5 linked regions of the Cricetulus griseus genome follow. The protein of the gene in region 5 purifies or fractionates together with the protein of the main gene of each other region. This does not show direct contact. Links are inferred from orthologs where the notes say so. Each region holds a gene or a part of one and is shown on either strand. Other genes may lie near its edges.

Region 1 (4,685 bases), about 20 Mb from region 5:
CCTTAGCCTCAGTAACACTACACATGAAGCACTGAAATTACAAATTAGTGCAACCTATCAAGCCATGATCAGCCTCAAACACTAATCAATTCTCACCACCACTGCTGAATCCCTTGTACCCTCGAATAAATGAACCCAAGACTGACTTTCATCTCCCCAGCCCCACCCCTCTTTTTAAGACACGGTCCTGCTACCAAGCCATAATTGCCCTAGCACTCACCATGTAGTCCAGGCAGACCTCAAACTCATAGCAATCCTCCTGCCTCAGCTTCCCAAAAGCCAGGACGACAGGTATCCACCATTATATCCAGCTGACCTTTTTTGTTGTTGTTCCTTTAGAAAATTATCTGGCTAGTTCTTGACAGTAATAAAAGATTATTTCTCCTCCCAAAGTTTCCAAACAAAAGAAAACAAAACCCACTCACTACAGTACAGGAAAAAACATGGCATCCTTCCCAATAGTACTCGTTTCTTCCAAAAACAGCATTTCTTACCTATATTATCCTTTTCTTTGCAAGAAATTGAATAGCAGCAAATTTCTCTATCCTGAATAGCAGACAGGTTCCTGTAAGAAACAGAAGTGATAAAAAATGACAGCAGCTGTCATACTTACTCTTTACTGGGTTTCACTTATTTTCATTACTATGCAAAAGAATATTTTCCCACTAATAAAATTTTAGAGATTTACATCTCTGGTTGCCCCAATTTATCCATCTAAGAACAAGGTAGAATCATTAATAAATAATGTAACCATGCCTACAAAATGTAGGACAGTCTATAATTTACCAACAAGCTTCTCAACATTACTCTTCTTAGGACCTACATTTTTTCAATTAGCTGTTTCTCATCCAAGGCATTTGGAAGATCTCTCTTGTTTCCAAGTACTAGTACCTTTAAAAAGAAGATAATATGGGTAAATCTTATGTACAAAAAAGATCACAGAAGCATAAGTAGTATATAAATATTCCAAAATTACCTTCATGTTAACATACACCTTAATTATAAAGTGTACTTGAGAAATATAAATAAATCAAAATATACTTGAGTGACTGGTAGCCAATTTTATTTATGAATTTATCCTAGTATTGCATAGCTCCTACAATAAAGGCAGCCGCAATTCAGTCTGTGGCCAACTTGAATTTAAAATATTCTAAGATACTCTAGGAGCTGAGAGATGGCTCAGTGTAGAAAGGCTAATGACCTGAGTTCAATCCCTAGGACACACACATGAACAATGAAATTCTCAAAAGAACTGATAGAAATATAGAAATATAGGAGAGAGAGAGAGAGAGAGAGAGAGAGAGAGAGAGAGAGAGAGAGAGAGGAGAGAGAGGTAGCTGAGTCAGAGAGAACTTCCTATTCTTTAAAACATGTCAAAGGCCTTCCACACAATCTTGTAAGTGTGGCCCCTAATATCCCAGCTACAGCTCAGTATGTCACCCAATCCAGCCATTCCCAAGGCTCTGTGTTCTGGAGACTGCTTCCTCCCACCAAAGGGCCTGTGCCTGGAACTATTCCTTACCAACCATCACATCCTGTACCACACTGCCACATGTCCTTCAGAGCTCCGTTCATACTTCACTGGCTCAGAGAGCCTTATTCCTTTACCTTGAACTACATAAATCTTTGCAACTCTTGAGGACTCTGCCCCTGTCTTAACACTGATTACCAAAGCTGCACTGTTAGATGCTTTTCCCCCCAAAAGTCTCTCTCCCCTGGCATGAAGTATTCTGGTAACTTCTGTCCATCACCATAGCCCCAGAACTGAGCACTGCTCTCACTACACAGTTTGGTGACTGTCTAGTGAAGGTATCTATAGACAGTACAATATCCAGGATCCAGCAAACACTGGACAAAAGTGACTCAGTTTTTAAGAACACACCCCAGAACTGGGGCTATTCTCCCACACACATCTTTAAATGAATATAGGACTTTTGCATGCTGGCCGAGAATTCACAGTAATACTCCCACCTCAGGCTTGCCAGCCCAGGGATCATAGCCAAAAGCAACCACAACCAGGTGAGACAAACAATTCTTTTTTTTTTTTTTTTTTTTTTTTTTTTTTTTTTTTTTTTTGTTTTTTTCGAGACAGGGTTTCCCTGTGGCTTTGGAGGCTGTCCTGGAACTAGCTCTTGTAGACCAGGCTGGTCTCGAACTCACAGAGATCCACCTGCCTCTGCCTCCCGAGTGTTGGGATTAAAGGCGTGCTCCACCAACGCCCAGCTGAGACAAACAATTCTTAACAAAAGTATTTCAAATAATTCATTATTTGTGAGGAAGTAGCAGAGAAAATCAGAAAGATAAAAATTCTATTCAATTGCTCAATTTCACAATGTTGGAGTCAAAGTACTCCTAACTTTAAAAAAAGAAGACATTTTGCTAATTTCAAATATAATTAGTAGCTCTCTAGACCCACAGGCTCCATGTCCAACCAACTGCACATCAAAAACACATGGGAAGCCAGGCAGGAGACTCAGAACTTTAATTCTAGTGCTTGGGAACTGAGGTGGAAAGATAATCCAGTTTGAGGCCAGCCTAGCTATGCAGTAAGATGCAGGCCAGCCTGGGCTATACAGAGAAATCTATCTCAAAAAACAAAAATAAAGCTAAGTAAAAACATGGGAGGGGGGCTGTAACCTCACTGAGAATATATGTACAGTCTTCCCTTTGCTATCATTCCCTAAGCAGTACAGTCAAAAACTATTACAAAGCACTTCTGTTGTATTAAGTATTGTTAGTAATCTAAATATAATATAATTCAAAGCTCATGGAAGAATATGTAACTTGCATGTGAATACTATACCATTTTCCACAAAGAACCTGAGAAGCCAGGTATGGTAGCAGATTCCTATAATCCCAACACTTTGGAGGTTGACGCAACAGAATAACAAGTTTGAGGCCATCCCAGGCTATATCATGAAGCTTAATCTCAAAAAAAAAAAAAAAAAAAAAAAAAAAAAAGAAAATGAAAAAGATCTTGAGAATCATCAGATCTCCATTCTTGAGGGGCATAAGGATCCTAAAACCAAGACTGATTTGTAGGGAGACACCCTAGGCCCGCCCTGGGACAGGTACCAGGTGGACCCGGGACTCGCCCATAAGGGCGTGATTTAGGAAAGCCAAGGTGACGTAAGGGAGGCTTCTTAAAGACCGGCTCGTGGAGACCCGGGCCCCTTCTGTTCTGGCCGCGCTTGCTGGGTTCTATAACCTAGCTCTGGCCTGTGTTTTAGCCTGGTGTTTTCTTGAATAAAGAGACTTTAATCTTTACACTGGTTCAATGTTAAATATATAATTGCAAATACAAAATGCCAGATTCTCCAAACTTACTGGAATTCCTTGTAACTGTGGTTTATCTAGAAGATTATGGAGCTCATTTCGAGAGGCTTCTATCTTTTCACGATCTGCAGCATCTATCATGTAACTTAAAAAACAAAGAGATATCAACATGCCATCTCTATGAATCTCAATGAACTAGGATTATAGATCTTAAGGTTTCTTAATATTTACAATACTGAAACTGCTAATCAAAAGAAATTAAGTCCTACGTCAGCATGAATAAATGCTTTTAACTACATTATTCACAGACTAATTAGTAGATGCTATACTCAGGAAAACACACAGCACAGCACTCAGATGAATAAAGAAATCAATAAACAAAGCCCTTATTCTATGATTTTTTAAAAAAAATTCCATGTTAATGGAATTATACTGAGATATTGGCAAAGAATACAATTACTGTCAGATAATTATTAATCTACCTTTGGAAATATTAAAAAACAATTTTTTTCTTTCAAGACTAAACTGACAGACTAAAAGAAGGGGAAAAAAGCCCACCACCAACTTACACAATAGCATTTACTCCTCTGCAATACCGCTCCCACATGCTCCGGAACCGGGGTTGTCCTCCTATGTCCCAGATCTTTAATCAAAACAAGGCAATTCTTAATAAGAACATTACAAGGAGTCGTTGACAAAGGTACTACCAGAATTGGAGAACAGTCACAGGCATGTCAAATGTTATAGAGTCAGAGTACTCCTAAAGTCTCAAACCCAAACTCAATCTGTGAAATCTTGAGGCCCCTTCCCAACTTGAAATTCTAAATATGTGAATGCTGGATCTAAAATTTTGCTTGAGCAATGACTTGGTTAAATATGAGTGTGATAATTAATTACTACCCAATACATTTCTAATCATGGATATATACAACTTTAAAATAATAACAAATGTAACATCTACAAAAACATGCAACATTCAGACTTGGATGCCAAGACAAAAAAAAAAAAAAAAAAAAAAGTTCAGGACCTCCTAAACTTTAAGTGTGTCTTCTTACATTATTCTGTAAGTAACAGAGTCAACATTACTTCATTTGGAGTTCTCCATAATAATTTCACTATACTGCACGTGGCTACAAAACTAAGTTGTGGCTTTCTTTAAAGTAGTTTCCAACTTAAGCACTAACACTGGTAAAATGCATAGAGACACAGGTAAAAATTGAGAAGTGTCATCAGAAAAGCCATAGACAGAACTTGGCAAGCAGATCTGTCAACAAGAACTGGGTAAAATGTTCACACGTTCAGGCTAGAGGCAAACTCACAGGAATTACAGAATGAAAACCAGGGTAACAAGAAAAATTAAAATTCCCTATTATTCCTATAGTCCAGGAGTTAAAAAGAAATTATGGTAA
Region 2 (5,115 bases), on a different chromosome or scaffold from region 5:
GACTTCCAGGTATTAAAGGGGGAATGGGCTCCAAGCTGGTGGCAGTAGGGGGAGGGAAGAAGAGCCCAGAGAATTTCAGTATGGCTTGAGCATGTAGCTGAGAGTTCCATCCTTATGCTGTCTCTGAAGGTCTAGACTGTTCACTGATTCCAGAACCCCAGCCCTTGTTGTCTGTAGAAACTTGTGGTCCCTTCTGATCCATGTCTATGTGTCTCCTAGATCCAGGCCTTCAATGTGACGGGTGAGCAGTTCTCCTATGCTAGCGACTGTGCTGGCTTCTTCTCTCCAGGCATCTGGATGGGGCTGCTCACCACCCTCTTCATGCTTTTCATCTTCACCTATGGCCTGCACATGATACTCAGCCTCAAGACCATGGATCGTTTTGACGACCACAAGGGCCCCACCATCACTTTGACACAGATTGTGTGACCTGTGCCAGAGAGAGATTGAGGGAGTGTTGGTGTCTAGGTTGTCATGTTTGCATCTTGTGGCATAGTGGATAGAAAGTTTTTTTTCTCTTCGATAGCATGAACCCTGCAGTACCCTCAGCCTGTCTTGCTTCCTCTTCAACCTACTGAGGGACTGGCTTCCCTGGGGCTATCCCCCATCTCTACCAACAAAGTGTATATATTCTTCATAGATATTAGACAAATCTTCCAGGCTCCATCATCATGAGGGGAAGGAACATTAATTCTAGGGTTCCCTTTCTCCCTTTCCCCCTTATTTATTCTTGCCCCTCCGCTACTTGCTGTTTATAGTGCTTCTGTGTAATTAATGCTCACTCCCCAAGCTTTATGAATCTTCCAGCAACAGCAATAAACTTGAGGTTCCTTGAGTTTGAGATGTATGGAAAGACTACTTAACTGTCTGTCCAGCTTGGCTGTTGTGTTTTTTGGGTGACATGTTAAGAATGATCTGTACACTGGGGTTTATTTCTGTAGCCTGAGAAAGAAGAGACCTCCACAAGGCTTATTCCCACTAGGATTGTCTGCCAAGAGATGGGGATGGGGGTACTCTTTTTGTTTCCCTTCCTAATAAAATAAAGACGTGTTGTCATATGTGTTGGGCTTCGGCTTTGAGTCACTCATTTCTGCACTTGACAGTAGATTTGTTTTTGACTGAGGGGAAGAAGTGCCCAGGTGTAGTCCTAACAGGTGAGAGGGGAAGGGTGGGAGAGTCTTCATCAAGCTGATTGATACTCTTAACGAGTTAAGGTAGAGGCCCATTATTTCTCCTGGCCTTGGGGAGAGTCCTTACAATGAAAGATACAGGCAACTGCAAATACCACAGGGCCTTGCTGTTTCTCCCAGAGGGGCGGTATGGGATCGCGCCAGGAGGGATGGGACGGGGCGGGGCGCTCTCGGCTCCCGCGCATGGATCTTCGCGGGACGCAGCACCTGCCACGGACCCGCCCCGCCCCGCATTTCTCTGGGCTCGCGAAGATCTGCGTTGCCCCCGAAATTGTACTGGTGCGGAGACTCAGGCGCTGGAAGCCCTTCCAGAAAATAAGCGGGAGAAACGGTGGCATCGCTAGGGTGTGGCAGGGCCCGAGGAGGGAGAGGGACTCTTTGACGCGGCGGAAGGATCTGGAGACGACTGATAGCCGCCATCTTTGGTTCAGTGCGGTGGCAGCGGCGGCGGCGGCAGTGGCTGCTGTGGTGAAGGAGGAGGAGGAGCCGAGCGGGCGTTGGTACCAAGGCCTGACCATGGACGAGGAATACGATGTGATAGTACTGGGGACAGGTCTTACCGTAAGTGTCACCCTAGGCACTCATAGCCCTGTAGCATGCCTTTCCCATCCCCCGCGGTGATGCAGAGCCCTGGTCACCGGTCTCATTCTCCCATCATTGCTTTCCTGGCTCTGGTCCTGGCAAAGCCAACCCCGCTCCCACCCCACTGCCTCACCCTAGGATGTCGACTCGACGGCGCTGCCATCTTCTTGCTTCCCCGTAGAGGACCCTGTTTCAGCCTGTATCCCTGCACCCTAGGACCCCTTCATCGTCCCTATCTGTGTCACCGAGGTGGAAAACTACCCCCCCCCCGGACCGGTTGTGCCCAGCCCCCACCCTTCACCTGCTTAGCATCCTTGATTAGCATCTCTTACCATTTTGTGGTGATCACACTAGGGCATTGAGTATAAAGGTATGGGTATGGGGGCATTCCAAGGGTGGGTTCTCATCCTGCCTTTTTGCCTTTTGAGAGGGGACGGTAATTCAGGGAATGTTCCAGAAGCAGCAGTAGTGGGGGTAGTTACGACATTCCCTCTACCCCAGTCTGGTTTCCCATGGAGATCTCAGGCTGAATATATCCTCTGCCTTTGTCCTTGGGCTAGTGACAGTGATTGGTTGTTGGTTTGCACCCTGAGTCTGGACCGGTAGATAGGGCTGGAGGGTCAGGGGCTCCTGCCTTTGTAGGAGGAGCAGCCCAGGGTGGGGTCTGGGATTTCATTTGAATTGGTTCTTCTCCAGACTCGTTACCTTTTTGTGGGCTCAGAGCAGGCAGATACTTACTTGGCTTGTGGGTACTAGAAGACTGTCCTTGGGTCTGCTGGAAGCTCTGCCTCCCTAAGCCTCATTTAATGCTCTGGCATTTCACCGTCTTGCCTAACAGGGTTATAAAGGAAACATCGAATGAAGCCATTTCCCCTCTCTCCAGTTTTAGGTGCTACAAGAGGCAGGGATTTATGTTACAAAATTTATGTCGGGTTTGAGTCAGGGACAAACCAGGGATGCAGGTCAGAAGGCAGATGGGAGTGTAGCTGCAAATGCCACCCCTCCCCCAGGAATGCATCTTGTCTGGCATCATGTCTGTGAATGGAAAGAAGGTGCTGCACATGGACCGGAACCCTTACTATGGGGGTGAGAGCTCTTCCATCACACCCCTGGAAGAGGTAAGGCTTCTTGGACTTGAGCTAAGACCCAGACCCCTTTTTAGTCTCTCACATAGGGGCATGGGGGCAAAGTAGTTCCCAGGTGCTGGGCTGGAGAATGGGAGAGGGATAGGTGGTCCTTGACATTTTTCTTTCTTTCTGTCCTGTTTACAGCTATATAAACGTTTTCAGTTGCTGGAAGGGCCCCCTGAGTCAATGGGCCGGGGCCGAGACTGGAATGTTGACTTGATCCCCAAATTTCTCATGGCCAATGGTGAGGGAGATTAAGAAGATAATGTATATGGTGATTGGTGGGTGGTGGTGATTGGGAAGACCAGAGGGGAGGTTCAAGCTCCAGAATAAGGTCAGTCAGACAACTGAGAGATTTTTGAAGGGAGCTACACTGACATCCCTAATCCTCTCTGGACACAGGTCAGCTGGTAAAGATGCTGCTGTATACAGAAGTGACTCGTTATCTGGACTTCAAGGTGGTTGAGGGCAGCTTTGTATACAAGGGAGGCAAGATCTACAAAGTACCATCCACTGAGACTGAGGCCTTGGCTTCTAGTAAGTATGAGTCTCCTTAGCCAGAGAATAATGGGACAGGAGGAAGCAGACTATTCTCAAGATAGTTAGGCAAAAGGCTCCCATTTGCCTAAGCCTAATCTTAGCTCTATGTAATACCAGAGGCCCCTTGCTTTATAGTACCTTTATTGGAATGTGCTACCCATCCTGGCAAGTTACCAGAAAGGAAGCTCATTGAGGAGGATTTCTTTTTGGCAGAGGGCCTACTTGACCCCCATTGCATCCCCAAGTGGAGCTAGGAGTGCCTCTTCCTACAAATAGGAAAACTAAGGCCAAGAAGGGTGGGGCAGGGTTACATGACTGAGCTCTGGTGGGAGCCAGGACACCAACTTTCCTGGCCTGCTCTGGTGGAAAGAAGAGTTTTATGTCCCAGTAATACAAAAAGAGTCTTTTCAATACCCTTCCTTCAGATCTGATGGGCATGTTTGAAAAACGACGCTTCCGGAAATTCTTGGTGTTTGTGGCAAACTTTGATGAGAATGACCCCAAAACCTTTGAGGGTGTCGACCCCCAGACCACCAGCATGCGTGATGTCTACAGGAAGTTTGATCTGGGCCAAGATGTCATTGATTTCACTGGCCATGCCTTGGCGCTCTACCGCACTGATGAGTGAGGGGAAAGCTGGCTGGTGGCAGGAGCCCCTTTGTCTGCCTCACACTTTATCCTCCCCACACCTGCCTATTGTATCCACTGCCCACCCTGCATATCTCTTGTACTTGTCTATAAGTTCACCTGTTGCATTTCCATCCCTCTCTTCCATTTGACTCATATCTTTGCCAGGTCACAAAGGGTGGTGGGAAGGCGGATGGTGTCTTTGAAGGTGAGCAGGAGTGCTGCTGTCAAAGCATCTTCTCTTGTTCCCCAGCTACCTGGATCAGCCCTGTCTTGAGACTATTAACCGTATCAAGTTGTACAGTGAGTCCTTGGCCCGGTATGGCAAGAGCCCATATTTGTACCCACTCTATGGCCTGGGCGAGCTGCCCCAGGGCTTTGCAAGGTGAGGACCTTTTTTTCCCAAGCTGGCATTAGTGGGTATGACTAAGACCAATAAGCCTGGTGGTGGTGGCACAAGCCTTTAATCCCAGCATTTGGGAAGCAGATGCAGGCAGAGCTCTGTGAGTTCCAGGCCAAGCTGGTCTAGAGAGTGAGTTCTAGGACAGCCAAAGCTACATAGAGAAACACTCTTGAAAAACCAAAAATAAAATGAAATAAATAAAAGAATGGAAATTACCTCCTTGGGCTTTTTTTTTTTTTTCTTGAGACAGGGTTTCTCTGTATTTTTTTAGAGCCTGTCCTGGAACTTGCTCTATAGATCAGGCTGGCCTTGAACTCAGAGATCTACCTGCCTCTGCCTCCTGAGTGCTGGGATTAAAGGTGTGGGCCACCCCCCCCCGCCCCTCACCTCCCCACCCCCCCATTCCCCCCACCCCCGCTCTCCTTGAGCATTTTTGTGGCATCTTCTACTTTCCCATCTAAATCTTCATGTACATTGTTCCATCCCTGGTTAATGGGGGCACAGCCTTAGTACAGAGTAAAGGTGGAGAGTTGGCTCAGCAGATAAAAGCACTTGTTTTTACAGAGGACCCAGGTTTAATTCCAACAGCCACATGGTGGCCTACAACTGTCCATAACTCCAGTTTTAGGGAATCCTAACACCTTCA
Region 3 (4,685 bases), on a different chromosome or scaffold from region 5:
TTGGTCACCTCTAGCTCCAGTCCCAGGGGATCTGGCACCCTCTTTTGGCGTGTGTGCCCTGCACCAGGCACATACATGGTATGTATAGATATGAATGTATGAGTGGGGAAACACTCATACACAAAAATTTTTTTAAATTAAATTTAGATGATAGAAAAATTAGTCAAAGGCAAGGTCAGCAAACCCTGGTCCTGTTAAAAGGACCAGAGAACATTTTGGTCTTTTCAAGCCTCACAATGTAATACATGACTCAGCCTACCGTAGTCAAAGGTCAACAGTGCCGGGGTGAGGAGCAGCCACAGGCTCTTAATGAGTGTGGAGTGTCTCAAGGTCTGGAGATAAGCTTTTCTATAAGGCTGCCTCCAGCCCTACCTCACACACTGCCTACACTAGAACACTGTTTTCTGGCTTTGCCATCCTCAAGAGAGTCGAGTGCCCCGCACTTGAAGCCCTTCCCTGATGCCAACCCTCTCACTTGTGGGTGACAGCCTTCAGAAGGGGCCAGAAAACAGGCTGAGGCAGAGGCTTCTGATGCGTGTGCTTCTTCCTTTTTCCTCCCGCCTCGGCACGGATGTGCTTGGCATGTAGGCCGTGGATAAACACGGCCTCCAGGGCACTGCACATGGTGTTGGCATCTCCATCTTCACTGGTGACCACTGTGTCCAGAGACACATGCTGCTTCTGCAGGGCCTTCACAGATCCCACTAGCTTCTTCTTGATGACCTAAGTGGAGTCAATCAAACGCACAGTCAGACTTTAGGGGTAAATCCTATATGAAGTCTGTAGAATGTAGTCCATGGCCTGTTTTTCAATGTGTGTAACCACATACACACCTTTATAGAGAACCCAAGACTCCTGCAAAGCTAGCTACTATGGCAAGTGAAGATCCAGCACACAGAGAAATGGTTTTGCACATAGTTTTTAAAAATCAGATTTATTAATTTTATTTTATGTATGAGTGTTTGGCTGACATGTATGTATGTGTACCACATGAGTGCTTGGTGTCTGAGGTTAGAAGAGGCTATCAAATCCCCTGAAACTGGAGTTACAGATGGTTGTGATGCTAAGAATTGAACCCAGGTCCTCTTTAAAAACAAGAGCTTTTAACCACAGAAGCATCTCTCAACCCCCATCTTTATTTATTTATTTATTTATTTATTTATTTATTTATTTATTTTTTAATGAAACTTTAGTCTTATATTTAGATACCAGATCCATGTAATCACAGCTATCGCAGTTCAGGGGCATTCTGCAGAGATAAGCTAAAGAGGCAGAGAATATTTCTTCAACGCAAAACCCAAGAAAGAATTAGGGGGTGTGGCTCAAATGCTAAAGAGTATACTTAGCAGGCACAAGCCCCCGGTTAGACCCCCAACACAGTGGGGGTAAAGGTCAAGACCACAGATGCCTAATTACATTAGCTAAGGGCCCAGGCCTAGAGCCAAAGGCAGTACCAGCTCTGTTTGCAGACACTTTGCTTAACCTCTCTGAGCCTCAATTCCCTAAAGATTAAGTGGAAACAATGTTTTGTGATCTATAACCCTGGGACATTGCTTCTTCTTTCATATTTATTTATTTATTTATTTATTTATTTATTTATTTTGAGAAAGGGTTTCTGTAGAACTGGCTGTCCTGGAACTCATTCTGTAGACCGGGCTAACCTCAAATTCAGAGATCTGTTGTTGTTGTTATTATTATTATTTTCTGATAAAGGGTTTCTGTAGGCCTGGCTGCCTTGGACTCACTTTGTAAACCAGACTGGCCTCAAATTCAGAGATTATGTGAACCATCAAGCCCAGCAAGGGCCACTGACTGAGGGTAGAAATTGGGTTTCATTTCTCCCTGTGTCCCCAACAGTTGCCACTGTGCCTGGTACACATATAGAAGGTACGAATTACAAAATGTACATCAAGGGTTGTAGAAATTTAGCATAACATGTATATAATCATAATTATGAGTGTATTAAAGTCATATTAGTGCTAGCAAAGAACTAGATAGAACTGCAAAAAACTGGTTTGCAGCATGTGTTAAGTTATAGATAAACATTTCACTTTTATTTTGACTTAGTCTGAATAGTAAGTGTTCTTTGGAAAGTTGAATTTAAAAAAATCAATTAACAAATTATAATTCACATTAAATTCTCCCATTTAAACTACAAACTTCCCGGGGGTGGGGGGGTGGGGGGTGTTCTTTCTGTTGTTGGTTTTGGTCCTGCCCAGAAGTAACACATTCCTGAATTTTAGTAACTTTTACTTTCACTAATTTTTCTAAAAATTTATTGACACTGAGCATGGTGGCACACATTTTAATCTCAACACTCAGGAGGCAGAAGCAGATTTCTTGAAGCCAGGGCTACACAGTGAGACTCTGTCTCAAATCAAACAAACAAAAAAGATTTATTTACAATGGCTGTTGAGAGGAGAATCAGTCTTCTACAGGGATGAGCACTAATAGGCTATCCATTCCCATATGCAAAAGAGCAATACTAAATGAGCTTAGTAGATAGTATACACAAAAGCAGAAAATGTGGCCTGGCAATGATAGTACATGACTTTAATTCCAGCATGTGGGAGGCAGAGGCAGGTGACCTCTGAGTTTGAGGCCAGGCTGGTCTACAGAGTGAGTTCTAGGACAGCCAGGTTACATAGAGTGACTGTTTCAAAAAAAAAAAAAAAAAAGGAAAAAAAGGAAGGAGGGAAGGAAGGGAGAAAAAAAAGAGCAGTGAGTGTCCTTAACTGCTGGGCCATCTTTCTAGCATTCTATTTATATTTTTATCATCACTTTAATCATAGGTATATTCCTAAACAAACAATACCAAAACCTGATGGTTTTATTGTATTTATTCTGTCTAGAGTTCACTGAATTTCTTTGAACTGAAGATTTAAAGTTAATGAAATGTAGAAAGTTCTGGAAAAGGAAGTAAAGCACAGTGGTTTTTAGTATACTCAGAGAATGGTGCAACGTTTACCATTAGCTAATTTTAGAACATTTTAACACCACTGAAGGAAAGTGTGTATCAGTGGCTGGGAGTGGGGTGGAGTGGCTGTAGGATAATCTATTTTGTGCCTGTACAGATTTATCTATTCTGGATATTTCAAAGAAGTGGAAACATACAACATGTGACTTTGAGTATAGATTCTTTGACTTGGCATTTTTTCAAGTTTTATCTATATTATAGCACATATCAGTATTTAATTCCTTTTTACAATCAAGTATACCATGCTTTATCTGGTCATTCATAAGAAAATGAACACCTGGCTTGTTCCCACTTTTTGAGAATAGTGCTGCTCTGAATGCTTGTCTTCACCTTTTTATGCAGACATGCTTCCAGGTCTAGAATTGATAAGACACAGAGTTGGCCCGATGGCACAGGCTTGCAGTCCTGACACTTAAAAGCTGAGGACTTTCATGTGAGTTTGGAGGCCATCTTGATAGTAAGTTGCAGGTCAACCTAAACTACAAAGTAAAACCTGCCTGAAAAGCCAAAGAATTGTTAAATCACACAAAACCTATGCTCCCTATGACAGGCTGGGGTAGAGCAATGCCTCCATTTGTGGGATCTTGTATTTCATCCCCAACACCAAAAAGAAAAGAAATAAAAAAACCCTAAAAGCTCTATTTAAGTTTTCTATGAAACACTAAGTTGTTTGCCCAAGTAACCACTATTTTACACTAACAACGACACTTGCTATTGTCATTCTGATTACAGCCACCCAAATGGCGTGAAGTAGCACCTGACCGAGGCTTTCCTTTACATTTCTCCGGGTCTAACAGTAATACGAATTACTTTGTGTGCTTATTGGTCATCTGTGTATCTTTTTTGGAGAAATCTTTTGTCCACTGTACAACCTGTTTTTATGTGTGGTGTGTGTGCTTATATGTGTCAGTATATGTAGGTGAGTGCCCACGTGTGTGGAGGCAAGAGGTCAATGGTGAGTGTCTTAGTCATTCTATACATTATTCTTATAGGTCTCTTATTGAACCTAAGCTCATCAATTCATGGGCTACCTGATCAATGAACTCTGAGGATTTGTCAGCCCTTACCCTCCCCCCTGGGATTACAGACATAGGCTGCCAGGACTGGCTTTTACGTGGGTTCTGGAGATCTAAACTCAGGGCTTTATGCCAGCACACACTACTGAACAGCCATCTCCAAGCCCCCAGATTATCTTTTAATTGCTGGGTTGAAGTAGTTTTCTATATATTTTAGCTACTAGACCTTTATCAGAGATAATACCTTCTCTTTTTTTGTGGACTGTATCTTTTCATCTTTCCCTCAACACTTTATGAATAGTGTCCTTTGAAGCAAAGATTTTAATCTTGGAGTTGAATTTTAAATGCTATTTTAAATATATTATTAGATTGTATAAAAGCATAAACTATTTCCAACTGAGTGCCTATCAGGTGCTGTGTCAGGGAATGCAGGTAACCAGACACCTCAAGGGGTGGATCTGTGCAGCTCTTGCTAGGAGACCAGGGATCTGCTCTAGCTCCAGAGGGCCCAGGGTGGGACAGGGATAACTTGCAAAGGCCTAGCTGGAAGCCAGAAGGGAGATGGGTAGAGCTGACCCTCTAGTGGCCAGGAGAGGGAAGGCAGCTCTCTGAGGGCTGCAGCTCCGTGTTGACAGAAGATTCTGGTATTGGGAGGAAAGGATACTCCAAAAATGCCACGACAGGGTTCCACT
Region 4 (4,685 bases), on a different chromosome or scaffold from region 5:
TGCCTTGCAGGTGCTAGGCATCGGTACATTTTTGTTCCTCTGGACATTTGAATTATTTTAAATGTAACATGAATAATGGGTATATATCTGCAGAATAGTCATGTCTTTGCTCTCTATTCTTTGAAGGCTTTGGGTTGGTAAAGCTGGATGTGAAAACAAAGTCATGCAGCGGTGTGGTAAGTGTCTAATAAGTTCTTGTAACTCTTTTAATTTTATTTTAAGATTTATTTATTTAATGTATAGAATGTTCTGTCTTCATGTATGCCTACAAGCCAGAAGAGGGCATTGGGTCTCATTATGGTTGTGAGCCACCATGTATTTGCTGGGGGTTTGAACCAGGGTCCTCTGGAAGAGTAGTCAATGCTCTTAACCTCTGAGCCATCTCTCCAGCCCCTAATTTCTTAGCCTATAAATGTCTATAGTTGTTTTGCCTTAAGGAGGCAGAAGTTAATTTGTTTTGAGTGATTTGCATGTAATCTGATTTATTAGCTTTGGATATTTCTGCTTTTCATGTAGTTTTGTTATATTTGTGTGTGTGTGTGTGTGTGTGTGTGTGTGTGTGTGTTACTATGATTGTACAAAGAAGTGGGGAAAGACATTGGTTATTTGGGACTATTTACTCAGGTAGATTACAAGCTTGAAGGCCAGAAGCTTATAATCCACGCCCTTGTAACTTTCTCCTAATACCTGCCAAGGTATTCTGGGCTTAATAGTAACTTGTTTATTTGACCATACTGGTCATTTAATATAATGGCTATATTCTAACAGTCATCCATGGAGATGTCTACATACCTCTGTCCTGACCTGAATATTGCTTATGCGTTTATCCTCCCCAGTTGTTGAAACAAGGGATAAAGTAAAATATTGTATGCTTTTTTTTCTTTCTCTAATAATTTTTGTTTTGAGATTCAGAGATGGTTGTATTGTGTACATGCTAAACTATGATTATTGGGCACTGTGATAAATGCATGTTCTGAATATAACTAGTATTAAAGTTGTTCCTGGTAGGGATTCTTAATGGTCAGACCTGTTGCATTTATGGGGTTTTATATTGTTCTGTCCTGTGGTTTCCTTGGTTTGCAAAGAAGCTAAATATTTGGTGATGGTTGACTTGGCTGGGTTAAGAGTTTACAGAATATTAGTTAGCTGATTGCTGGAGATTGAAACTAGAGCCTTGTAGTTCTACTACTAATCTCTATTTTCATCCTACCAGGTTTTAAATATGTTTGTGCAGGTGTGTTACATTAAAATAAGTACCCCATCCTTGTTTTTAAAAAGCTTACTTTTAGACTGGGAGTATAACTTAGTGGTAAAAGGCTTACCCAGTTGTGTATGAGGTCCAGTGCGGAAAACAAACAAAACACCCCCTTCTAGTTACAAAGACAAACTTTAAGCTGAGAACAATTGGAGAACTGTATTGAGCACTAGATTTATAGATTTATAAGCAAAACATCCTTTTTTTCCTCCTGCCTCCCTAGTGCTGGGATTAACAGTGTGCACCACTACCACCACCACCACCACCACCACCACCACCACCACCACCACCCAGTGGCCCTTTTCTTTCTTGAATTGCAGAGATGTTCAGGCTACCCCAAAATGTAGAAGAAGTTCATAGTGATGGAGTGAATTGCTTTATTGTTGGTTTCATCTGTTCCAGTTTGACCTACAGACTAATACTGACCTTGTTTCTTGGGTATTTGTTGGCATTCATTAGACTAGCCCTTGATCTCAGGGACTGATGGGTGGTAGTAGCTGGAGCTTGGCAGTTTCTGATTTTAACTCTGCAGGTATCATAACTTCTGATAAACTTAAAACAAAATTTACATCAATTTTAGACATGGCTTTCCAGTGACTAGGTATGGAGACACTGATACAGAAACCCTAGGTCAGAACTCTTGACAGGCTTCTGGAAGGTTACATTTTATCTTGGGACACGTCCCTCACATGCAGTGAGTGCTTCATAAAGACAGATCCTCTGTGCTCCCTTTTTACCACAAGGGATTGGCAGATATATTCTATACAAATCCATGATTAAAACTTTTCTTAAAGATTTATTTTTAATTAAAGATGTTTTTATTTCACATGTATGAGTGTTTGCCTGTATGTCTGTTTGCCTGGTGCCTGTGGTGTCAGTTTTCCTAGAACTGGAGTTATAGATGGTTATAACTTGCCATGTGGATGCTGGGAACCAAATTTGGGTCCTCTGTAAGAGCAGCAAGTGTGTTTACTCACTGGCTGCTTTTCCGGTTCAAGGCTAAGCTTTCTATAGTACTTCCGAATTAATTCTGTTTTTTTTTTTTTTTTTTTTTTTTCCTGCTGACACATAGTTTATATTATTTATGATAAAACCCAAGAAGCTCCCCTACTCCACTTTTTTTTCCTCTTTTTTTGAGACAGGGTTTCTCTGTAGCTTTGGAGGCTGTCCGGGAACTTGCTCAGTAGACCAGGCTGGCCTTGAACTCACAGAGATCCGCCTGTCTCTGCCTCCTGAGTGCTGGAATTAAAGGCATGCACCACCACTGCCAGGCTAAAAAACTTATTTTTATTTTATGTGTATGGTTGTTTTTTTGCCTGCATGCGTATCTGTACCATGTGTGTGCAGTACCCACAGAGGCCAGAAGAGGGTGGTGGATACTCTGAATTGGAGTTACAGACTGTTAGTTGCCTTGTGGGTGCTAGCAATCAAACCTGAGTCCTCTGCAAGAGGAACAGCTCCTCTTAACTACTGAGAGCCATCTCTCCTGTCCCACGAAAATACTGTGAGTTGGGTGAGGTGTGGCAACACACACCTTTAATCCCAGCACTAGGGAGGCAGAGGAAGGCAGATCAGGCCGGCCTGGTCTATAAAGGACAGCCAGGGCCACATAATTGAGACAGACAACAACAAACAGCAAAAAGAAGATAGGTAAGTTGTTTGGAAGGGCATGGAACCTAGTGAAGACTCATTTCAGAAAAGTAGAGGGAGGACTGGAGAGATAGATGGTTCAGCATAAGCGTGGGTGCCCCTCTTGTAGAGGCCCTTCCTAACCACCCACATGACGGCTCACAGCCACCTGTAACTTCAGCGGCAGGGAAGTCAGACGACTCTGGTCTTTAGGACATCTGCACTGAATATTCATTCACATACATATGCAAATGAAAAATTCTTTAAAAAGGAAAAAAGAAGGAATATTGGGATAGTTGAGCCCAGATTTTACTTAAAATTTTTCACATCTTGTGTGTGTCATGGTGTAGATGTGGAGGTGAGAGGACAGCTTGGAAGACTCAACTCCTCTTCCTACCATGTGGGCTTTAGAGACGGAAGTTAGGTTGTCAGGCTTGGTTAAACCCAGTGAGCCATCTCACCAGCCCCGTGCGCTTAATCTTTATTGATTAGTTAGAAATGTAAGATGGCATTCTAGTGAGGTCAGTCAGTCCGTCAGGCTAATTTGTCACTGTTGAGTTTGCTTAGGAAGTAGCACAGTGTGAAGTTAGAAGTGTCAAATAAGTTAGGCAGTGGATTGTTCCAGGCTTAGCAGACATTCATGAAGTTGTTTATTGTCTTCTTAGGAATTTTCAACATCTGGTTCATCTAATACGGACACTGGTAAAGTCAGTGGGACCTTGGAGACCAAATATAAATGGTGTGAGTATGGTCTGACTTTCACAGAAAAATGGAACACCGATAACACTCTGGGGACAGAGATTGCAATTGAAGATCAGGTAGTGTTTCATAGACTTGCTTTTGTGTCCTTTTTGCATTTCAAAAAGGAAATAAAATGGAACATAAATCTTATATGCTCTTTTTCTCCCAAAATAGATATGCCAAGGTTTGAAGCTGACGTTTGATACTACCTTTTCACCAAACACAGGGTAAGCACTTATGTTTTTACAGGCACTGAACCTGAAGCAGTCTTGTCTGCTCAGAAGAGAAGCAGCTTCCTCCCTTTCAGTAGTTCACTGCGGAGGCCACTATCTGCTTTTGAACACTGCTTGCCACCATTGACTTTCTTCAGAAATTGGCCTCTTCTAGTGCTAATTGTGTCCTATCTTTTGCGACTGTTAGTTTTACAAAGCACTTTTCCTATGATGGGACAGTCCTGTCACCCCATGTGGGTTTGTTTTCTTTAACTTTTTGGTTGTTTTTAACGCTAAAATTGTCATACTGTGGCTTGTTTAAATCCGTCTCATGCTCACCAGGTAGAGCTAGGTATATAAACTTTGTCACTGGTATCAGTTTCAAACCAGTCTCTCCTTTTTTCAGAAAGAAAAGTGGTAAAATCAAGTCTGCTTACAAGAGGGAGTGTATAAACCTTGGCTGTGATGTTGACTTTGATTTTGCTGGACCTGCCATCCATGGCTCAGCTGTCTTTGGTTACGAGGGCTGGCTTGCTGGGTACCAGATGACCTTTGACAGTGCCAAGTCAAAGCTGACTAGGAGTAACTTTGCAGTGGGCTACAGGACTGGGGACTTCCAACTACATACTAATGTGTAAGTATTTCTCTATAGGCTTTCAGGGTGGTATCTGATGTCATTTCTTAGATCTATTTTTAATTTAAAGGGTATCTGACATGTGGTAGTTCTAAGTGCTCCTCAGTAGCATATAGTGTAGACACTCGAGAGCATGCTCACATCAACAGGGGTTGAGGTGCTTTAGAAGAGAGAGAGGGGTTAGACCAGTGCTTTCTGTGTGTGACTTGATAAC
Region 5 (4,685 bases):
CCATGCTGTCTCAGCTTCCTCCCCTGGCACACAGTATCTTCTCTAGAGGAGGGTAGCTGAAAGCTCTGAGTTCCCTGACGGTTTTCTTTTTATTTCTTATTTGTGTATATAAGTAACTACTCTCAGGAAAGTGCCACTTCATGGTTTGAGAGCTGAGTCAGGGGACCACCATCACGCTACATATGGCCTTGCTTGAGGTGGGGGGCAGAAGCTCAGACACGGCTAGATGGCAGCTGGGATCTGACTGAAGTTCATCTCATTAACTAGAAGCATTGCTTGGCAAGAGGCCTCAGGTGGCTTGATCTCCTAAAAGTCCAGGAGCAAACAAGCCCACACCTCTTTCACCATGTGTCTGTTTTGTTCCCCCAAGGTCTTCCATGTCTGAGACCAGGCTGCCTGGAAGGCTCTGTATCTTAGGTAAGTGTTTTATCACCAAGCCATACCCTAGCTCTGCCCTGTCTTTTAGATGACTAACAAAGCTGTGATCTCCTAAGGACGGAGGCAGAATATGTTATGACCTACCCATCTGGAGAAGCACCTTACGTTTTCCCAGGTGCAGCTTGGGAAGAAAAACATCTAGGAAAGAACACAGGACATCACCAGAGTGTGCCTGCAGCTGCAGAGCCCTGCACCCACCTGTTTAAGGGCATTCCGAGCAATTGTCTGGAAGGCCTGCTCCACATTGATGGCTTCCTTGGCACTGGTCTCAAAGTAGGGAATGTTGTTTTTGCTGTAGCACCAAGCCTGTGCCCTCTTTGTGGCCACCTACAGGAGGGAGGACATTACTGCCATGAACAGCTCCAAGACAAGTACACTGGTGAGAACAGATCTGGGGGTGAGGATGAGTGTGGCCTATAGACCCAAAGGTCGGGTCACTCTGTTGTCCATGTGAGGGATCCAAGCTTGAGCTATTTTGGTCCACAGCCAGACCTTATGGCCCTTAGCAGTGTGCCACAGGCCAGGAGCCAATCCCAGGAGGTGGAAGGTGGGTCCATGACAATCTCTGGTATATACCCCTTTCCACTTGCTCATCTTGAGCCACCTAAAGAAATGGCAAGTGGCACGGATTTTGCAGCGCTCACCCTTAGATCTTTCCTTCCCTTGCCCCAGCCAAGAAACAGAGACAAAATCTGGAAAGGGGAAGAGATAGTCAGAAATAAGCTGACCTAAAAATTAACAAAACCGTGCCGGGTGTTGGTGGCGCATGCCTTTAATCCCAGCACTTGGGAGGCAGAGGCAGGAGGATCTCTGTGAGTTCAAGACCAGTCTGGTCTCCAGAGCGAGTGCCAGGATAGGCTCTAAAGCTTCACAGAGAAACCCTGTCTTGAAAAACCAAAAAAAAAAAAACAACAACAAAACAACAACAACAACAACAACAACAACAACACAACATGTTCCAACAGAAATGCTGTGTGAAATCACAGCTGAGCAACACGACTCAAGGCCCACAGCATTCTTCCATCCTGAAGTGAGAAAATCAATTCCTTCCTTTAAGGGACAGGAAGGGAATTGAGGCTCTGAGAAAAAGACAGCCCCACATCAAAGCTGGCTGGGGTCAGCTGGTGACAAGTACTCCCACCAGCACCTTCCCAAAGTATTCTGAGTCTGGAAGAGAACCCTCCAAACTCAAGGTACCAGAGGAGGAGGGGCCTGTGAATGTTAACTCCCATGTTAGCACTTACTTGTCTGTTTTCAAGGTCAATCTTGTTTCCCAATACAACAAAAGGAAAGTTCTCAGGATCCCGGGGGCTGGCTTGGATAAGAAACTCGTCTCTCCAGCTGTCAAGGGTTTTGAATGTGTTAGGGGCAGTCACATCAAACACCAGAACACAGCAATCTGCACCTCTGTAGAAGGCCACACCAAGAGACTGGAACCGTTCTTGACCAGCTGTGTCCCAGATCTGCAAGAAGAAAAACACCTAGTCTTCAGGAGGTGCTGGGCAGTGTGGGGTGTGTGTGGGGTGTTGTGTGCACATGTATGGGACTGTGGCAAGAAACGCCTCTATCTACTCCCAGGTATGTGCTCAGAACATGAAGAAGGTACACTTATGTATTCTGGGAACTTTCTAAGGGCTTGATTATTGTGCTTTATTTATTTGAGTGTTCTATGTAGCCACATAGGCCTTGGACTTGCAATCCTTCTGCCTCAGCTTGGTGTTGAGATTACAGGTATGCATTACCACAAGCTTTTCTAGAGGTAGTAGAAATAAAACATTAGTGACTAAAATGAGTATTTCTACCAATGGATTTTGAACAATGTCATTTCTTTAATTAAAAAAGTTGTTTTTGTTCTTAATTTAAAACAAAAGCAAAATTAATTAAAAACCCTTACAAAAAGATCTGGAGAGACAAGAACAACAGAGTAGAAGCTAGCAACAGGTCCCACTGGTTCAGAACAAATACTGTCCTATATGGCCATGTTTAATTTAGGTTCAAATGGTATAAGGAATTCAGAAAAAAAAGAACAAGAACTCAAGCTGAAAATTGGGGCATTATTCCCAGCAAGTTTCTAAATCGACCTTAGCTTCAAACTTACAAAAGTACATTTCATATTTGTCAACTATTAGAACAAAAAAATACAACCCTATGTCAAATGGTCCTTTTAAATTTTCTAACTGAATGTTTTTGGAAGGTAGTGGTAGGAGCAGCACACAGGGCATTTCGAACTCCGAGCAAGCTCTACTGCTCCTTTATATAGACTCCGAAATGAATCAATGTATTTGATTTAATGTGGTCTAATAAATCCTGATCTTTTATGATTTGTTCTTGCTTCACTTTAAATATCAAAGGTCAAAAACAGCCTCTACTTTCCATTTGAACATTTTTATATTTTATGTTTTTCTCATCTTACTCAGATCCTGAGTACACTAGCTACTCTACTTGAAAGTTCTGCTCCAGCCTCAGTAAGAACTCTGAGGGAGAGTTCCTAGTAAGGTCCTATGCTTATGTCCCTTGGGCCTTCTGTGTGTCTGTGCCAACACCACTGCTCCAGTGATTTCAGTTTACCAAGTTCCTGAATGTTCATGCACACCTGACTTGTAGCTTCTTCCTCAACAGTATCACAAATGTAAATGGTAAAACACAGCCACCACTACTCTTCCACGGGACATTACATTTCATAACTCCATGGTTATGAAACTGGTTTCTTATAGCAGAACTCAAAGTGGGCCACACCTGAGGATCCAACTAACAGCAGACCACAACTTTAGTAGGCATTTATGGACTTCCCTCCTCATCATTGTTCCTAGACATAGCCTTAATAACTCCTTACATGGAATTAGGTCTTGTAAGTAATTTGGAGATTATTTAAAGATATATGGGAGGGTATCCTGTGGTGATACGTTGTTTATGAGCTAATAAAGCCTGCCTGGAAATCAGAATGCAAAGCTAGCCTCAGCCATGGAAACTGGGCAGTGGTGGCACACACCTTTAATTCCAAGACTCAATACAGAGGCAGATGGATCTCTGTGAGTTCAAGGCCACCCTGGGCTACAAGAGAGTGAATCAGTCTAAAAGAGAAACAGAGCTCAGGCCTTTAATCCCGGCTCTAGAGAGACTCTAAGGAGCCCAGTGCAGTCTCAGGAGCAGTCTGAGATGTGGTGAGGAGCAGTGCAGCAGAGCTCTCTGTTGGCTTGGCTGCTTTGCTTCTCTGGGTTTTTATTATTCATGTTTCAGTATCCTTACATTCTATGTAGACATGACAACTCAAAAATCATTTTTATTATAAAATTTATTTCTAATTTCAAATTTCATTATTTTCTTATTCTATGAGTGTTTTGCCTGCATGTATGTCTATATACCTCACATATGCCTGGTGTCCAAAGAGGCCAAAAGAGAGTATCTGATTCCCCAAGACGGAATTCAGGTGGTTGTGAATACCACAGTGCATGTGGAGATTCAAACCTGGGTCCTTTGGAAAAGAGCCAATGCTCTTAAACATTTCACCATCGCACCAGCCCATACTGAACTTCAATTTACTCTGTAGGTGAAGGTGGCCTTAAACTTCTGATCCTCCTGCCTACAGCTGCCGAGTGCTGGGATGACAGGCAAGCACCAACACACTCAGTTTTATGTTGTGCTGGGGAATGAATCCAGGATTATATGCTATGTTGTGGACAATTAACATGTGTTACATGATTTAAGCATTGGAACATTTGTTTAATGAAGCAAAGATGTGTTGTATTCTCTCTTGTTTGTTTGTTTGTTTGTTTTTTGGTTTTTTGAGACAGGGTTTCTCTGTGGCTTTGGAGGCTGTCCTGGAACTAGCTCTTGTAGCCCAGGCAGGTCTCAAACTCAGAGATCCGCCTGCCTCTGCCTCCCGAATGTGTGTTGTATTCTTTTATGCTGCATTTGCTTAACTCTGTGAAGCTGTGTTACTTTGCTTATCCAAAACACCTGATTGGTCTAATTAAGAGCTGAATGGCCAACAGCAAGGCAGGAGGGAGAAATAAGCCAAGCTGGCAGGGGGAGAGAATAAAAAGAAGATTAGAGGAAGATCAAGGAACTAGAGAAGGGGAGAACAAAGAAGGTGCCAGCCATGGAGTGAAGCAAGAATACAGAAGAAAAGGAATAAGACCAGAGGCTTTGTGTGTGTGATTTATTTATGAGCTGGGTAGCGGCCCCCCAAAAGAGTAAAAACATCTAAAATGCAAGTACCTGACCATTTCAACTCCATAATACTGAAG

What was found.
Region 1: the proteins of Rab7a (region 5) and Arl8b purify together in Homo sapiens (affinity purification with mass spectrometry; 4 studies listed by BioGRID and IntAct, with this or other methods). This does not show direct contact. The link is inferred for Cricetulus griseus from reciprocal best matches to the Homo sapiens genes RAB7A and ARL8B.
Region 2: the proteins of Rab7a (region 5) and Gdi1 purify together in Homo sapiens (affinity purification with mass spectrometry; 4 studies listed by BioGRID and IntAct, counting the BioPlex papers as one, with this or other methods). This does not show direct contact. The link is inferred for Cricetulus griseus from reciprocal best matches to the Homo sapiens genes RAB7A and GDI1.
Region 3: the proteins of Rab7a (region 5) and Plekhm1 purify together in Homo sapiens (affinity purification with western blotting; 5 studies listed by BioGRID and IntAct, with this or other methods). This does not show direct contact. The link is inferred for Cricetulus griseus from reciprocal best matches to the Homo sapiens genes RAB7A and PLEKHM1.
Region 4: the proteins of Rab7a (region 5) and Vdac2 purify together in Homo sapiens (affinity purification with mass spectrometry; 3 studies listed by BioGRID and IntAct, with this or other methods). This does not show direct contact. The link is inferred for Cricetulus griseus from reciprocal best matches to the Homo sapiens genes RAB7A and VDAC2.

Annotation. Positions count from the first base shown.
Region 1 is NC_048601.1:35,664,686-35,669,370, forward strand, and holds part of Arl8b (ADP-ribosylation factor-like protein 8B), read right to left. Parts: intron 3,920-4,685; coding exon 3,846-3,919; intron 3,422-3,845; coding exon 3,328-3,421; intron 892-3,327; coding exon 824-891; intron 566-823; coding exon 495-565; intron 1-494. UniProt on the Homo sapiens protein: Small GTPase which cycles between active GTP-bound and inactive GDP-bound states.
Region 2 is NC_048604.1:1,415,485-1,420,599, reverse strand, and holds the start of Gdi1 (rab GDP dissociation inhibitor alpha), read left to right. Parts: upstream 1-1,445; 5' UTR 1,446-1,706; coding exon 1,707-1,751; intron 1,752-1,910; exon of another isoform or gene 1,911-2,142; intron 2,143-2,782; coding exon 2,783-2,890; intron 2,891-3,043; coding exon 3,044-3,143; intron 3,144-3,301; coding exon 3,302-3,436; intron 3,437-3,864; coding exon 3,865-4,063; intron 4,064-4,319; coding exon 4,320-4,451; intron 4,452-5,115. Other genes in the region: Atp6ap1 (V-type proton ATPase subunit S1), read left to right, coding at 1-9, 220-429. UniProt on the Homo sapiens protein: Regulates the GDP/GTP exchange reaction of most Rab proteins by inhibiting the dissociation of GDP from them, and the subsequent binding of GTP to them. Promotes the dissociation of GDP-bound Rab proteins from the membrane and inhibits their activation.
Region 3 is NC_048600.1:114,748,752-114,753,436, reverse strand, and holds part of Plekhm1 (pleckstrin homology domain-containing family M member 1), read right to left. Parts: intron 724-4,685; coding exon 476-723; intron 1-475. UniProt on the Homo sapiens protein: Acts as a multivalent adapter protein that regulates Rab7-dependent and HOPS complex-dependent fusion events in the endolysosomal system and couples autophagic and the endocytic trafficking pathways.
Region 4 is NW_023276807.1:199,144,552-199,149,236, reverse strand, and holds part of Vdac2 (voltage-dependent anion-selective channel protein 2), read left to right. Parts: intron 1-126; coding exon 127-176; intron 177-3,549; coding exon 3,550-3,702; intron 3,703-3,799; coding exon 3,800-3,852; intron 3,853-4,243; coding exon 4,244-4,471; intron 4,472-4,685. UniProt on the Homo sapiens protein: Non-selective voltage-gated ion channel that mediates the transport of anions and cations through the mitochondrion outer membrane and plasma membrane.
Region 5 is NC_048601.1:55,315,139-55,319,823, reverse strand, and holds part of Rab7a (ras-related protein Rab-7a), read right to left. Parts: intron 2,757-4,685; exon of another isoform or gene 1,902-2,756; coding exon 1,683-1,901; exon of another isoform or gene 766-1,682; coding exon 637-765; exon of another isoform or gene 371-636; intron 1-370.